Linked DNA regions of Macaca mulatta. The protein of the gene in region 1 purifies or fractionates together with the protein of each later gene. This does not show direct contact. Links are inferred from orthologs where the notes say so. Each region holds a gene or a part of one and is shown on either strand. Other genes may lie near its edges. The genes, in order: RAB3GAP2 and VAPB.

Region 1 (5,911 bases):
TCGTCAGCCATACTGGCCTTTCTAGTCCTGGACCTAGTCATTCTAGTCCCCACCTCAGGGCCTTTGTAATTCTTGTCTCAAGCACTGTTCCCCCAGTTTCTGAGTAGCTGGCTGCTGCTTCTCCTTAGGGGCTCGGTTCAAATGTCACATTCTCTGCCCACTCTACTGTAGTGGCTCCTGTTTATTCATATGATCCTGTTTCTTTTTCCTTTTTAGAGATGGGGTCTCGCTATATTGCCCAGACTGGTCTCGAGCTTCTGGGCTCAAGTGATCTGCCGCCTGAGCCTTCCAAAGTGCTGGGATTACAGGTGTGAGCCACAACACTCGGCCCTCTTTATTTTCTTCATAGCACCTACCAGTCAATGCAAAATGTAGCCTGCTTTTCTGCTCCTACCAGCAGACTATCAAGTTCATGAGGAAGGAACCTTGTCTGTTTTGTTTACTGCTATATCCCTGTGCATAGGGGCAGGCCTGGCACACTGCAGGAATTATTTGATTATAATTTTATGTTTTAAAAAATAGTATATTGTTCTATTTTTGTACCTAGATGTTCCAACAAAAGGAAGAGCAAAAGGCTTCATTGGAGAGTCTTTATTCCAACTATCAATTTTATAACTTGAGCCCAATTAACATTCAAAGGGTCATGTTACCTCTTCTCCTAAGTGGTCAACTCCATAGTTGTATAGCTCCCCAACATAATGCCTTCTAACAACATCTTCACTAACTTGAAGGTGATGGGCTAAATCCAAAGCTAGAGCTGGCCAATCTTGGTCTTTCCCAAAAGGAGTGGGTGTGGCCTCTTCTGTGGGATCTTTGACCTTTGTGGCTGAATGTTGGGCCTGGACAGCTGCACTGACAACTTTCAATAAGAACTTGAAAATGGAAAAAGAGATACAGCAATATATTGTTACTGTTTCATTTTAAAATACCTAAATCAAAGTATTGTTAGCTTTTTTGTCACTTACAGTGGCTTTTCCATGAAATTGTTTAATTATCAAAAAAGGAACACATCATTTAAAGGTAAACAACTAGCTTTCAAGAATACTTTGAAAGTGGTCATTTTTAAAAATATTATTTTATTTATTTATTTATTTATACTTTAAGTTCTAGGGTACATGAGCACAACATGCAGGTTTGTTACATATGTATACATGGGCCATGTTGGTGTGCTGCACCCATTAACTCATCATTTACATTAGGTATATCTCCTAATACTATCCCTTCCCCCTCCCCCCACCTCACGATAGGCCCCGGTGTGTGATGCTCCCCTTCCTGTGTCCAAGTGACCTCATTGTTCAATTCCCACCTATGAGTGAGAACATGTGGTGTTTGGTTTTCTGTCCTTGCGATAGAAAGTGGTCATTCTTTTCAAAAGCAAGCTAGATTTTTCCTTTACTGTTTTTTTTCCAAGAAACAAAAACAAAATCCAATAGCTGTAATTTACCTGTTGTCGTACAGAAATGAAATTTGGATCCATTTCCCCACTAGGTAATAACTGAATTGAAGTTAGGTCTTTGAAAAATGCATTTTTTCCCTAAAGAGAAAGACAGCAAGAAAACTGATGAGTGTAGATTATGAAGGGGGAAGGGGGGAAAGGGAGAAAGATCTGTTTAAAACTTAAGTCACTTAATGGTTGATTTTCATTTCTCCTTGAACAGTAAGATTTTAGAATTCTTCCTTTAATTTTTATAACAAGTATCTAGTATGGAGTAGACAGCCTTTAAGATGATCCCCAGTGATCCCCTCCTCCTGGTATTCATGTTTCCTATAGTCTCCTTTCCTTGCATGTAGGCTGGTGACTTGCTGCTAGCAAACAGAAGTAGGTAGAGGTGATAGCATGTTACTTCCAAGACCACGTTCCAAAGGCTGCTTCTGCCTTGAGGCACTCATATTCACTCTCACTTGTTCTGCAGGAAGCCAGGTTCCATGTTGTGAGCTGCTGTATGGACAGGCACATGTGGCATAAATGAATCTTGCCAACAATTGTGCTTGGAAGTGAGTCACCCTTTCCCCATCCCAGCTGAGCTCTCAGATGCAGCATCTTAACTACAGCTTCATGAGAGACTAAGCCAGAGGCACCTAGATAAGGAGAACACAGATTACTGACCCACAGCAACTGTGAGATAATAAATGTTTGGTATTTTCAGCCAAGCTTTGGGATGATTTGCTCTGCAGTAATAGCTAAGTAATACATATATGTACCCTGAATCTTTTTTTTTTTTTTTTGAGACAGGGTCTCACTCTGTTGCCTAGGCTGGAATGCTCACTGCAGCCTTCACCTTCCTGGTTCAAGCGATTCTGACCTCAGCCTCCCAAGTAGCTGGGACTACAGGCATGTACTATCAAGCCCAGGCTAATTTTTTTGTATTTTTAGTAGAGACAGGTTTCAGCATGTTGGCGAGGCAGGTCTCAAACTCCTGACCTCAGGTGATCTGCCCGCCTTGGCCTCCCAAAGTGCTGGGATGACAGGCATGAGCCACTGCGCCCAACCTCTGAGTCCTTTTAAAAACACATGTTGAATTGTTTAAAAACACCTTATTTAAAAGAACAGATGTGTGTCTAAAGAGTAAAAACGGAATATCAGGAAACAGGATTTCAGAAGTTCCTTGGAAGGAAATGTAATACAGAGCAAAGAGCACTGGCCTTTGAGTTGAAAGACCTGGGTCTAGTCTGAGGCTCACCACTTCCAACCAGGTTGTCTTGGGTAACTGACCCCCAATCTTGGGTTACTGTTTCTTCTTCTGCATGCAGGTCATCCTAGCAAGGATACATCCTGCAAGCACATCTTCCAATGTGCCTTCCATACCTGATCATCTGTGATTCTAGGTCATCTATTGTGACTGCCAAGCAGATTAAAGCTACTCATCCTTTAGTGATAAGAAAAACCAGACTTACAGGGCAACCCATGGCATTTTGGGCATCACTGATAGAAGTATTTAAAGATTTAGCACACATTCACAATCTGTTACTCGATAGTTCCCACCTGGTGGTCCTAGCTATAAGCATCTATAATAGTACCAGTATTTACTACATTCCAGACACTACGTACTTCATGTTGAATACAAGGAACCCTCACAACAACCATGAGGTTGGCGCTGGAGTCACTGCTACTTTATGAATGAGAAAACTGAGAGTAAGAAAATCTAAATAATTCTAGTTAGCAAATGGTAGCACTGGCATTGTTTCACTAGCCACTCAACCGTACTAGCTCTCTGCAGATGAGTGTCACCCAGCTGTCTCAGGTAGTCTTGGCATGACATGGGTGGAAATTAAACATTACTGTGCTCGTCCAATTGTGGGTATGTTCTGGTTTCACAAAGACCTTTTCTGAGGGGAATACTGAGCTGGGCACTTTATTTTGGTATTTCTTTCTCTGTTTTAACCTTTAAGTACTCTTATCCTTTATAATCTCAAAGATATACTAACTTTTTTTTTTTTTCAAAATCTATACTTTTTTTTTTTTTTTGAGACAGAGTCTCACTCTGTGGCCCAGGCTGAAGTGCAGTGGTGTGATCTCGGCTCACTGCAACCTCTGCCTCCCAGGTTCAAGTGATTATCATGCCTCAGCCTCCCAAGTAGCTGGGATTACAGGCTTGCGCCACCACGCCTGGCTAGTTTTTGTATTTTTACTAGTGACAGGGTTTCACCATGTAGGCCAGGCTGGTCTCAAACTCCTGACCTTAAGTGATCCGCCCACCTTGGCCTCCCAAAGTGCTGGGATTACAGGCATGAGCCACCGCGCCTATTCGGGAGTCTCTTATTTAAGGGTGAAATAATAAACCCATTTTCCCACAAGCGTAAGCTGTGTTCTCTAACCCAGCTTCTATCAGTAAAAAGCTAAGTAATAAAGTTGACATTTTTATCTCCAACAGTTTGTGTCCTGTCTCTCAAAATTTGACAGCTGCATGGGGAAGGAAAGGATTTTACTATCTACTGCAGCTAAACTGTGCAAGTTACAATATAGTATGTAAAAACATATTCTACTCACAAGTTTGGACTCAATCCTGCAGAGGAGCCAATAAAATCTTAGGTATAGAACTAACACAATTAAACCTGTCTCCTAGGAAGACAGCTCTTGCAGCATGGGACTGGAGAGAGAGAAACTGGAGGCAGGTGATTAGGAAAGGGCTGTTTTAATAGCCAAGGCAAAGATGATTGTGCCTGAACTAGGGGTATAGTCATAGAGAGAAATGGACAGGTATGATCTATGGAAGAATTTGTAAGAATGAATTTACAATGAAGAAAATTGGCTTGAAGTAAGGAATTGGTGAGATAACTTCAAAGTTTCTAGTTTTTGCCAGGGCAAAAATGATGACATCATTAATAAAATAACCAAGCCAGGGAATTCAGAAGGAACAGCAAATTTAAGTTAGGGGCAGGATGGGGGTATAGGTTTGCAGGTATATTTTAGATATGAGGTGTTTGAAGCCCTCTAAGACACTCAAAGAGAGAAGTTCAATTGAAATGCATGCCTCCAACTCTAGGGATTGGTCAGGCCTAGAGATATACAAGAGGGAGAAAATGAGTCTGTCCAGGAATAATATGGAGAACGAGAAGAGCAGACAGCTGAGAGGGCAAAACTCCCCAAGGGGAGCAGTACAGAAGGTAAATAAAAAGAACGGAATCAAGCAGGGAATGAGGGAGTTGGAACCTCACACCAAATGACACAAGTCACAAAAGTACTGGACAGCTTCTATTAAATATGAAAATCCATGTGTCTGCTAAGCCTGCAACTCCAAAATAGCTCTGAAATCCTTTGAGGTACTTACCTTACTGTCAAAAAGTGACAGTGGCTTCACGGTCTTCAGAGAAAACCTCATGACTGCATACAAGATGGAGCACAGGATGGAGTGGTGCTCCACCAGTGGGTAGTGGATGTGCTTCTGTTCAAGGGCCAGTTCCACTATGGAGATGGGTCCTTCCACGGAAAGCCACGCATCCTCAGTATCCAGCACAGGCACCTGTATTTCATCCCTGCTAACATCTGCCTAAGGGTTTTAAGAATGGAGGACTGTGTTTAGTAATGGAAAAATAATAGCTTACAAATATCCTAATGAGTTTATTAGCAGCAAAGTGCAAACTCATATTGCACAGTGTCCCAAATTGTAATAAACACAAAGTCTAATTTCAAGAAGGATTTAATGAGAAAATATCACTACCTTTTAGGCTTAAGTCAAAATTTAGAAATGAGGGAATGAAAAACAACCTCATTAAAATAGTCATTTATTAAATGCAATGGTTTGCAGAATATTTAATATCTTAGGAGCAGTTCAGAATGAAAATACACCTCTTTTACCTCCATTAAGATCTGAAGAAGATCCAAACAGGAGCCAAGGAAAGATGTCATTGCTGTGTCACTCATTCCCACATCCTGTTTTTAAAAAAGGAACATAATTAGGCCCTGCAGGAAAACTGCTGTAGTTACCATCAGCAAAACAAGAACGAGGATACAATATGCCCGTTCGGCTGACTTTCCACACTGAATAGATGGCAAGAATTTGAAAGTCAAGGCATCAGCATATTTAAGTTCCTTCTTTTATTTACTGTCAACCAATTTTAAAGTCAAGCTTTACAAAGTGGTACAAATACTGACTTTTAAAACAAGTAGTGTTCTTTGTGTACTGTAAAGACACAGTCTCATCAGTTACTATAGATGGTGGCACTTCTGAGCTCACTGTTCAGCTTGCTAAGGCATCTGGTAGCCAAATAATTGTGGTAGACGGAAGATGCACAAATGAGAATCTAACCTGAAGAGTTCCAAGAAAACAGCCTGATCTGCTTTCAGAGTGTCTTTTAGAGACTAAACCCAACCCTCTGAGCAAAACTAGAATCCTCAAGCTTGAGAACTAAATAACAGATTCATGCTGTGAGCAACAGATGACTCTCAATGACTCCTTTAAAGGGCCTGTCC
Region 2 (6,611 bases), on another chromosome or scaffold:
GATGAAGAGAGTTCTAGAGATGGATGATGGTGAGGTTGCACAACAATAGGAATGTTAATACCACTGTATACTTTAAAAAGATAGTAAATTTTATGTTATGTGTATCTTACCACAATAAAAAAGTAAAATTAAATTAAAAAAAAAAAGGTATTGTCTGAGAGTTTTCAAGAATAATGAAAGACACCAATCACCAAATTCAGAAAGCCCAAAGAATTCAAGGCAGAATAAATAAAAAGATATAGCATGAGCTGGGCTTTGTGGCTCACGCCTGTAATCCCAACACTTTGGGAGGTCGAGGTGAGTGGATTACCTGAGGTCAGGAGTTTGAGACCATCCTAGCCAACACGGCGAAGCTCTGTCTCTACTAAAAACACAAAAATTAGCCGGGCGTGGTGGTGGGTGCCTGTAATCCCAGAGACTCGGGAGGCTAAGGCAGGAGAATCGCTTGAACATGGGAGGCAGAGGGTGCAGTGAGCTGAGATGGCATCACTGCACTCCAGACTGGGGGACAGAGCAAGACTCCGTCTCAAAAAAAAAAAAAAAAAGATACAGCAAGGTAAAACTGTAGAACATGAGAAGAGGGGGAAAAGACCAACAACCTATGAGGGAACGATGTAAGATTGTCACTGGACTCCTGAGGAGCAATGAGGGGGAGCAGGCAAACAGTGGATGGCAATCAACTGTGCTGAGAGAGGACAGCTGTCATTCAAGCAAGGAAGCCAAAACATCTTTCAAGAACAAGGACAAGGCCAGGTGCAATGGCTCATGCCTGTAATCCTAGCACTTTGGAGGCTGAGGCTGGAGGATCACTTGAGCCCAGGAGTTTGAGACCAGCCTGGGCAACATAGTGAGATTTTACAGAAAATAAAGAAAATTAGCCTGGCATGGAGGTGCATGCTTTTAGTCTCAGGTACATGGGAGTCTGAGGTGGGAGGACTGCTTCAGCCTGGGAGATACAGGCTACAGTGAGCCATGATCATGCCACTGCACTCCAGCATGGGCAACAGAGCAAGACCTCATCTCCAAAAATAAATAAATAAAAAACAACAAAAGACAAAAACGAATGCATTTGCAGACGAACAGAAACTGAGAGGGTCTGCACCAACAAACCTACAAAAAAGTAAAATTTAAAGGATTTACTTCAGGCAAAAGGAGAGTGATCCTGTTCATGAAAGCTAAGATGCAAGAAGAAGAATAAAAATGGTAATTGTGTGGCTGAATCTAAATTAATGTTGACTGTATAAAACAATTTAATAATGTCTCCTGGGGTTAAAATGGCAAAGGTTAAACTTAACATACACTACATTAAGGTGTCTAATTTAGAGGATGGGTGATTAAAGTACTCCGAAGTCTTCATATTTTAAGGAAACAGGGTAAAGACATTTTTACAAATATTTAAACATACTGGACTTTCACAAGGTAAGCATGCATGCCCAAAATTTTCAAGTAACCACTAAAACTTAGAAATAGAGTATGTAGGTGAAGAAAATAAGAATGAGAATAAAAATAAACCCCAAAGAAGAAAGGGGAAAAAAAAAAGAAAAACAAAACAGGCAGGACAAGTAGAAATAACAAAATACGATGGTAGAAATAATTCCAGATATATTAGTAAATATAATAAATGTAAATGGACTAAATGCTACAGTTAAAATACAAAGATTATTCTTCCAAGAAATCTGTTTATCATGAAAAATTTCAAGTATACAGAAAAGTGGGAGAAACAGTACAAGAAAACCATGTACCTGCGATGTCAAGTCAGCCATTGTTAGCAATTTGCCATGTTTGTTTCACCTATATTGGTATGTATAGGAGACTATTAAGAACACCTACTTTACTTTCACAGTGAACATAATATAATGAAATACAATTTAAACGGTAATCATGATGTAGAGTATCCATTTTTGAGGTCAAGCAGATCTGGATTCTCCAGCAATTTTTAATTATTTAACTTACTTGTGTGGTTATTTATTCAAAATGTCTCTTCACTAGGCTACAGTAAAAGGATTGGAATCAGGTTAGCTTTTCTGATCATTGTATTTCTAAATATTTATTGCATAAACAAATCGAATTTACTAGTAAAAATTCAGCACAGTGCCAGTTGCCTAATAAACATTTAACGTAGAGTAGCTTGTATTTATTGTAGCTGCTGTTGTCATTGGAAGCATTCAGCAGAGTGATACGAAATAAGCAATAATTGGTAGTTTATTATATTTATAATTATTATTTACAAGACGTCACAGTGCTTAGCCCATATCACTCACCCATAAACATCATGTTTATACTAAGTACTTTGACTATTATTCAAAGTCTCTAACAGTGCCTGGCACTACATAAGCAAGAGAAAAGTGGAAGTTTATTCTAATTGTTGTTACTGAATAAAGCATTTAACACGAGGCTGGCCCCCAGCGGACCCTTAATAGTTTTCGCGGCTGCAGTCGTAGCCGGACTACAAACCCCGCCTCCTGAGCAGCGCGAAGCCCCGCCCCTTGCTGCCCTGCAGTTCCGCCCCCGTGGCTTGTACCGCGCCTGCGCACTGTCCCGGGTGGGGCTCCACGCGCGCAGCTTTAGTCCCCGCCCCTGGAGCTGGCGGCGCAGGGCGCAGCTTCCCGCCGCCCGAGCGGGCCAGCCTGCTGCGTGCGTGCGTGTGTACGCCTGTGCGTGCGTGCGTGCGTGCGTGCGTGCCGTCAGCTCGCCGGGCACCGCGGCCTCGCCCTCGCCCTCCGCCCCTGAGCCTGCACCGCGTAGAACGACCCCCCCCAGCGCGCGCACCCCGTCGAAGACTCTCACCCGTGCCCCGACTGGTCCCCCCTTTTTTGTAAAACTTAAAGCGGGCGCGGCATTAACGCTTCCCGCCCCGGTGACCTCTCAGGGGTCTCCCCGCCAAAGGTGCTCCGCCGCTGAGGAACATGGCGAAGGTGGAGCAGGTCCTGAGCCTCGAGCCGCAGCACGAGCTCAAATTCCGAGGTAAGCCCCAGAGGCCGCCACCTTCATGCTTGCGGCCCCCGCCCCAGTGCTGGAGGGACGGAGTCCGGCGCGGCGGGTGACGTCGGCCCTCGTCCCCACCCCGACGGCGCTGTCGTGGGGGCCGGCGAGGCCGGGCCGGGCCTTGGCGCTCAGCGCGCGCCCCAGAAATGCGCGGAGCGGCCGGGACCCGAGAGGGCTGGTGCAGGAGCTAGGGCCTCTGCCTCCTCCCCGACCCCCAGCCTCCTGGGACTTGCCTTCGAGGCACTTGTCACTTTGCCTTGTAACTTAGTGACCAGTTTGTGATCACTTTAGTGTGAGCCTCCGCCGCTGCTGTTGCCTGGAAGGTTCTTCCCCTGCTCTGTGACAGTGTTGACCTCAGGGTTTAGTTGAGGTATCACCTGCCCAGAGAGGCCTGCTGTGGCCACCCAGCCCACCGTGCACACCTGCTCTCCTGCTGTCCCCATTCTGTCACTGTTTCGTGGTCAGCACCGCACTTTTCGTACTCAAAATCACTGTTTCAACACTAGAAAGGAAACTGCATGAGGACAGGCTCTTGTCAGTTCGCTGCTGTGTACCCAGCACACATTAGACGCCTAGGAAATACCTGTTGAACCAACAAATGAACCTCCTCAGGCCTTCTGATGGGATTGGTCCCATTTTCCGTTCACTGCCTCCCTCATGGTGCCTCCTGGATGCAGCTGAGGGAGGCTGCCAAGGTGCTGGGATCCTTTTGCTCCGCAGAGCTGCCTGGAGCAACACCTGCGGTGGTGGGAAACCATGACCCTGGTTTCTCCCAGACACTATTATCTCTGTAATTTGTGCCTTTATGTTTTCTATGTTGTTCTTTTTTTTTTTTTTTTTCCTACCTTCACCAGGGCCACGAGGTAAAAGGTCTGACATGCTCATTCCTTCTTTTTGCTTGTATCCAGTGATGTGGAAGGCACTAGGGAGGTGATGGATGAACAAGACAGACAAGGCCTCTGCTCTCAGAGAGCTTAGCTTCCGACGAGGACAGACAAACCAGCACACAACATCGTTACAGATCCGTGGAAGGCACTGGGGAGGTGATGGATGAACAAGACAGACAAGGCCTCTGTTCTCATAGAGCTTACCTTCCGACGAGGACAGGCAAACCAGCACACGTGATCTTTGCAGATAGTGCTAAGTGCTGTGTAGGAAATGGAACAGTTTGACTCCATGGAAGTGTACTGTAGATTGGAAGGTCAGGTCTCCACTATATCGCTAGCAGCGGGCTCACAGTAGATGTTCAGCTGGTATTAATGAATGGCCAGAGGTTCTTCAGTTTATATGTCCTATTGGGAAGTAGTGTAGGGTAACTTATGCAAAGTTACCCAGTTGGCAAGTGGTACATTTGAACCCAGACTTCAGAGTTCACGCTGTTAACCGTTACGCTGTCTGATCGCTGGGAAATACTCCAGAACGGTGGCTGTCACTTTGCCTTCCAAGTTAACAATGTGAAATAACTCTGAATTTACAGAGAACCAAAGGCTTTCCAATTAAAATGAAAAAAACAAAAAAACCCCACCAAACCTACCGGGGATCGAAATTCCAGGATAGTACTTGAGGTTTCATGATGCGCTCATGGCTTTCTGGGAACGCCAGATTGGAAAAGGAGGCCAGGTGGCTAAAGTGGTGAGCCATGGTTTCCACTTGAGTTGTCTGAAGTTCTTTTTCTGTCTGGGAGGCCTGGCTTGGCTTCTCCTGAGAATTGGTGGGTTCATTCGGTTAGTCCACAAACATTTACTGAGTACCTGATCTGTGTGTCAGACACCCGGAGAAGCCAAGTCATATCAGCTGTACTCTCCCATTTTCCCTCAACCTCCTCCCAGTACTTTAGGGAAGGGGACAGATGAGAACAACAGCCAGGACAGGACAATGATGTAGGGTAGTTCAGAGTGCCCCAGGAGCATTGAGGAGGTAAGCTCCTGAAGGAGGTGTCATTTGAGCTCAGTTATAAAGGTTGAGTAGAAGAAGGCTCAAAGAAGGAAAGGGTGAGAACATTTCAGACAGAGGAAATTGCATGCACAGAGGCACAAACACTGAGATGACTGGGCTCCTTTGGGATGCCCAGTAGTTCTTTTTTTTCTTTTTCTTTTCTTTTTTTTGAGATGCAGGTCTTACTCTGTCACCCAGGCTAGAGTGCAGAGACGTGCTGTCTCACTGCAACCCCCGCCTCCCAAGTTCAAGCGATTCTCCTGCCTCAGCCTCTTGAGTAGCTGGGATTATATACAGGCGTGTGCCTCTACGCCTGGCTAAAAATGTATTTTCAGTAGAGACGGGGTTTCACCATGTTGGCCAGTTTGGTGTCAAACTCCAGACCGCAAGTGATCTGCCCTCCTTGACCTCTCAAAGTGGTGGGATTACAGGCGTGAGCCACTGTGCCCAGCCACCACTAGTAGTTGTGAATGACAGCAACAAAGAAAATTTGTTGTGGTTGCCCGGCAAGATGGCAGACAAGGCTGGTGAGTAGACAGGAGTCAGACCTCAGTCCCTTTATGCATAGATGCAGCCAGTGTCCAAGTTAAAATTGTGTTGCTTCTCCTTGAGCAGTCCTTCCTTGCATTAACTTTCTGAAAACCCCCAAATCCCAGTACAAACTCTGTTGTCTAATAGGATGTTATGGAAAGAGGCACTCATTTGAGAAAATTCAAGATTTTGTTCAGTTGTTTTACTGAAAGATGTGTGACCTTAGGCCACTTCACTCCTCAAAGCCTGGGGTCATTCTTTGGTCAATGGGGATGATGCTCATGTCCACCTTGCCTCTTGTAGAAAGTGTTTAAAAGGAATGACATGGCTGTTAGCGGCTTTGTAAGTGCGTAGTACTATACAGAGATTAGACAACCACTTAACCACTTAAGTGGTTTCATCACTTCTGTACCTGAAAGGTGTGGCAGAGAAGAGGGATCATTCTGGCCCTGGATTGGCCAAAGTAATAATGCCAAAGTCACTGGATATTTTTGCTGGGGAAGTGGTCCAAGAGAGATGGTACCAAATTGTTGAAGGCCTCTGGCTTATAACTTTAGAAGAGACATCTGTGTGTGTTTTTAAACGACGTCATGAGTTGTGTTGTTTGTTTTAAACTGAATGCTAAGACAGTACAATTAATAGAGACTCAATACCCTGACTTACTTAGAGATAATTCATTTCAGGATGAAAACTGGCACATTTAACTGGTTTCTTCCAGGTTACTCAGGGTGATGACTCTGATTTCTGGTGGTTCACCTAGATGAACCTCTGAGCTAACTACTTAAGAAGGTAATAACTAAAATGCCCATTCAAAGGAAAAATTATCTTTTAAATGCAGCCTAAGTTGATCATATGGGATTGTATATTGTCAGACTCTTTAATCTTGGGAATTTTGTGTGGTATATTAAATTTAAGGATGTTACAGAAGAAAAAACGCAAATTTATATGACCTTATGCAGTTTTATAGGAAGTACTGTGCTGCATCATAAATATGGAAAGGACAAAGCCTGGTGGCTTCCTGAAAGAAGCATGACACAGGAGGATTTGCCTAGACTTAAGGTTGATTTTCATGAGATATTTTTAGTAAGTGAACATTAAGCTCCTTCAGACTAGGGGTATCTTTCTGAGAGAGTAAAAGTAAATGTTTTTGTTTTTTGGCA

The links.
Region 2: the proteins of RAB3GAP2 (region 1) and VAPB purify together in Homo sapiens (affinity purification with mass spectrometry; 4 studies listed by BioGRID and IntAct, counting the BioPlex papers as one, with this or other methods). This does not show direct contact. The link is inferred for Macaca mulatta from reciprocal best matches to the Homo sapiens genes RAB3GAP2 and VAPB.

The regions. Positions count from the first base shown.
Region 1 is NC_133406.1:77,944,970-77,950,880, forward strand, and holds part of RAB3GAP2 (rab3 GTPase-activating protein non-catalytic subunit), read right to left. Parts: intron 5,372-5,911; coding exon 5,297-5,371; intron 4,989-5,296; coding exon 4,770-4,988; intron 1,535-4,769; coding exon 1,445-1,534; intron 873-1,444; coding exon 651-872; intron 1-650. UniProt on the Homo sapiens protein: Regulatory subunit of the Rab3 GTPase-activating (Rab3GAP) complex composed of RAB3GAP1 and RAB3GAP2, which has GTPase-activating protein (GAP) activity towards various Rab3 subfamily members (RAB3A, RAB3B, RAB3C and RAB3D), RAB5A and RAB43, and guanine nucleotide exchange factor (GEF) activity towards RAB18.
Region 2 is NC_133415.1:111,190,249-111,196,859, forward strand, and holds the start of VAPB (vesicle-associated membrane protein-associated protein B/C), read left to right. Parts: upstream 1-2,728; 5' UTR 2,729-2,906; coding exon 2,907-2,964; exon of another isoform or gene 2,965-3,013; intron 3,014-3,063; exon of another isoform or gene 3,064-5,192; intron 5,193-6,611. UniProt on the Homo sapiens protein: Endoplasmic reticulum (ER)-anchored protein that mediates the formation of contact sites between the ER and endosomes via interaction with FFAT motif-containing proteins such as STARD3 or WDR44.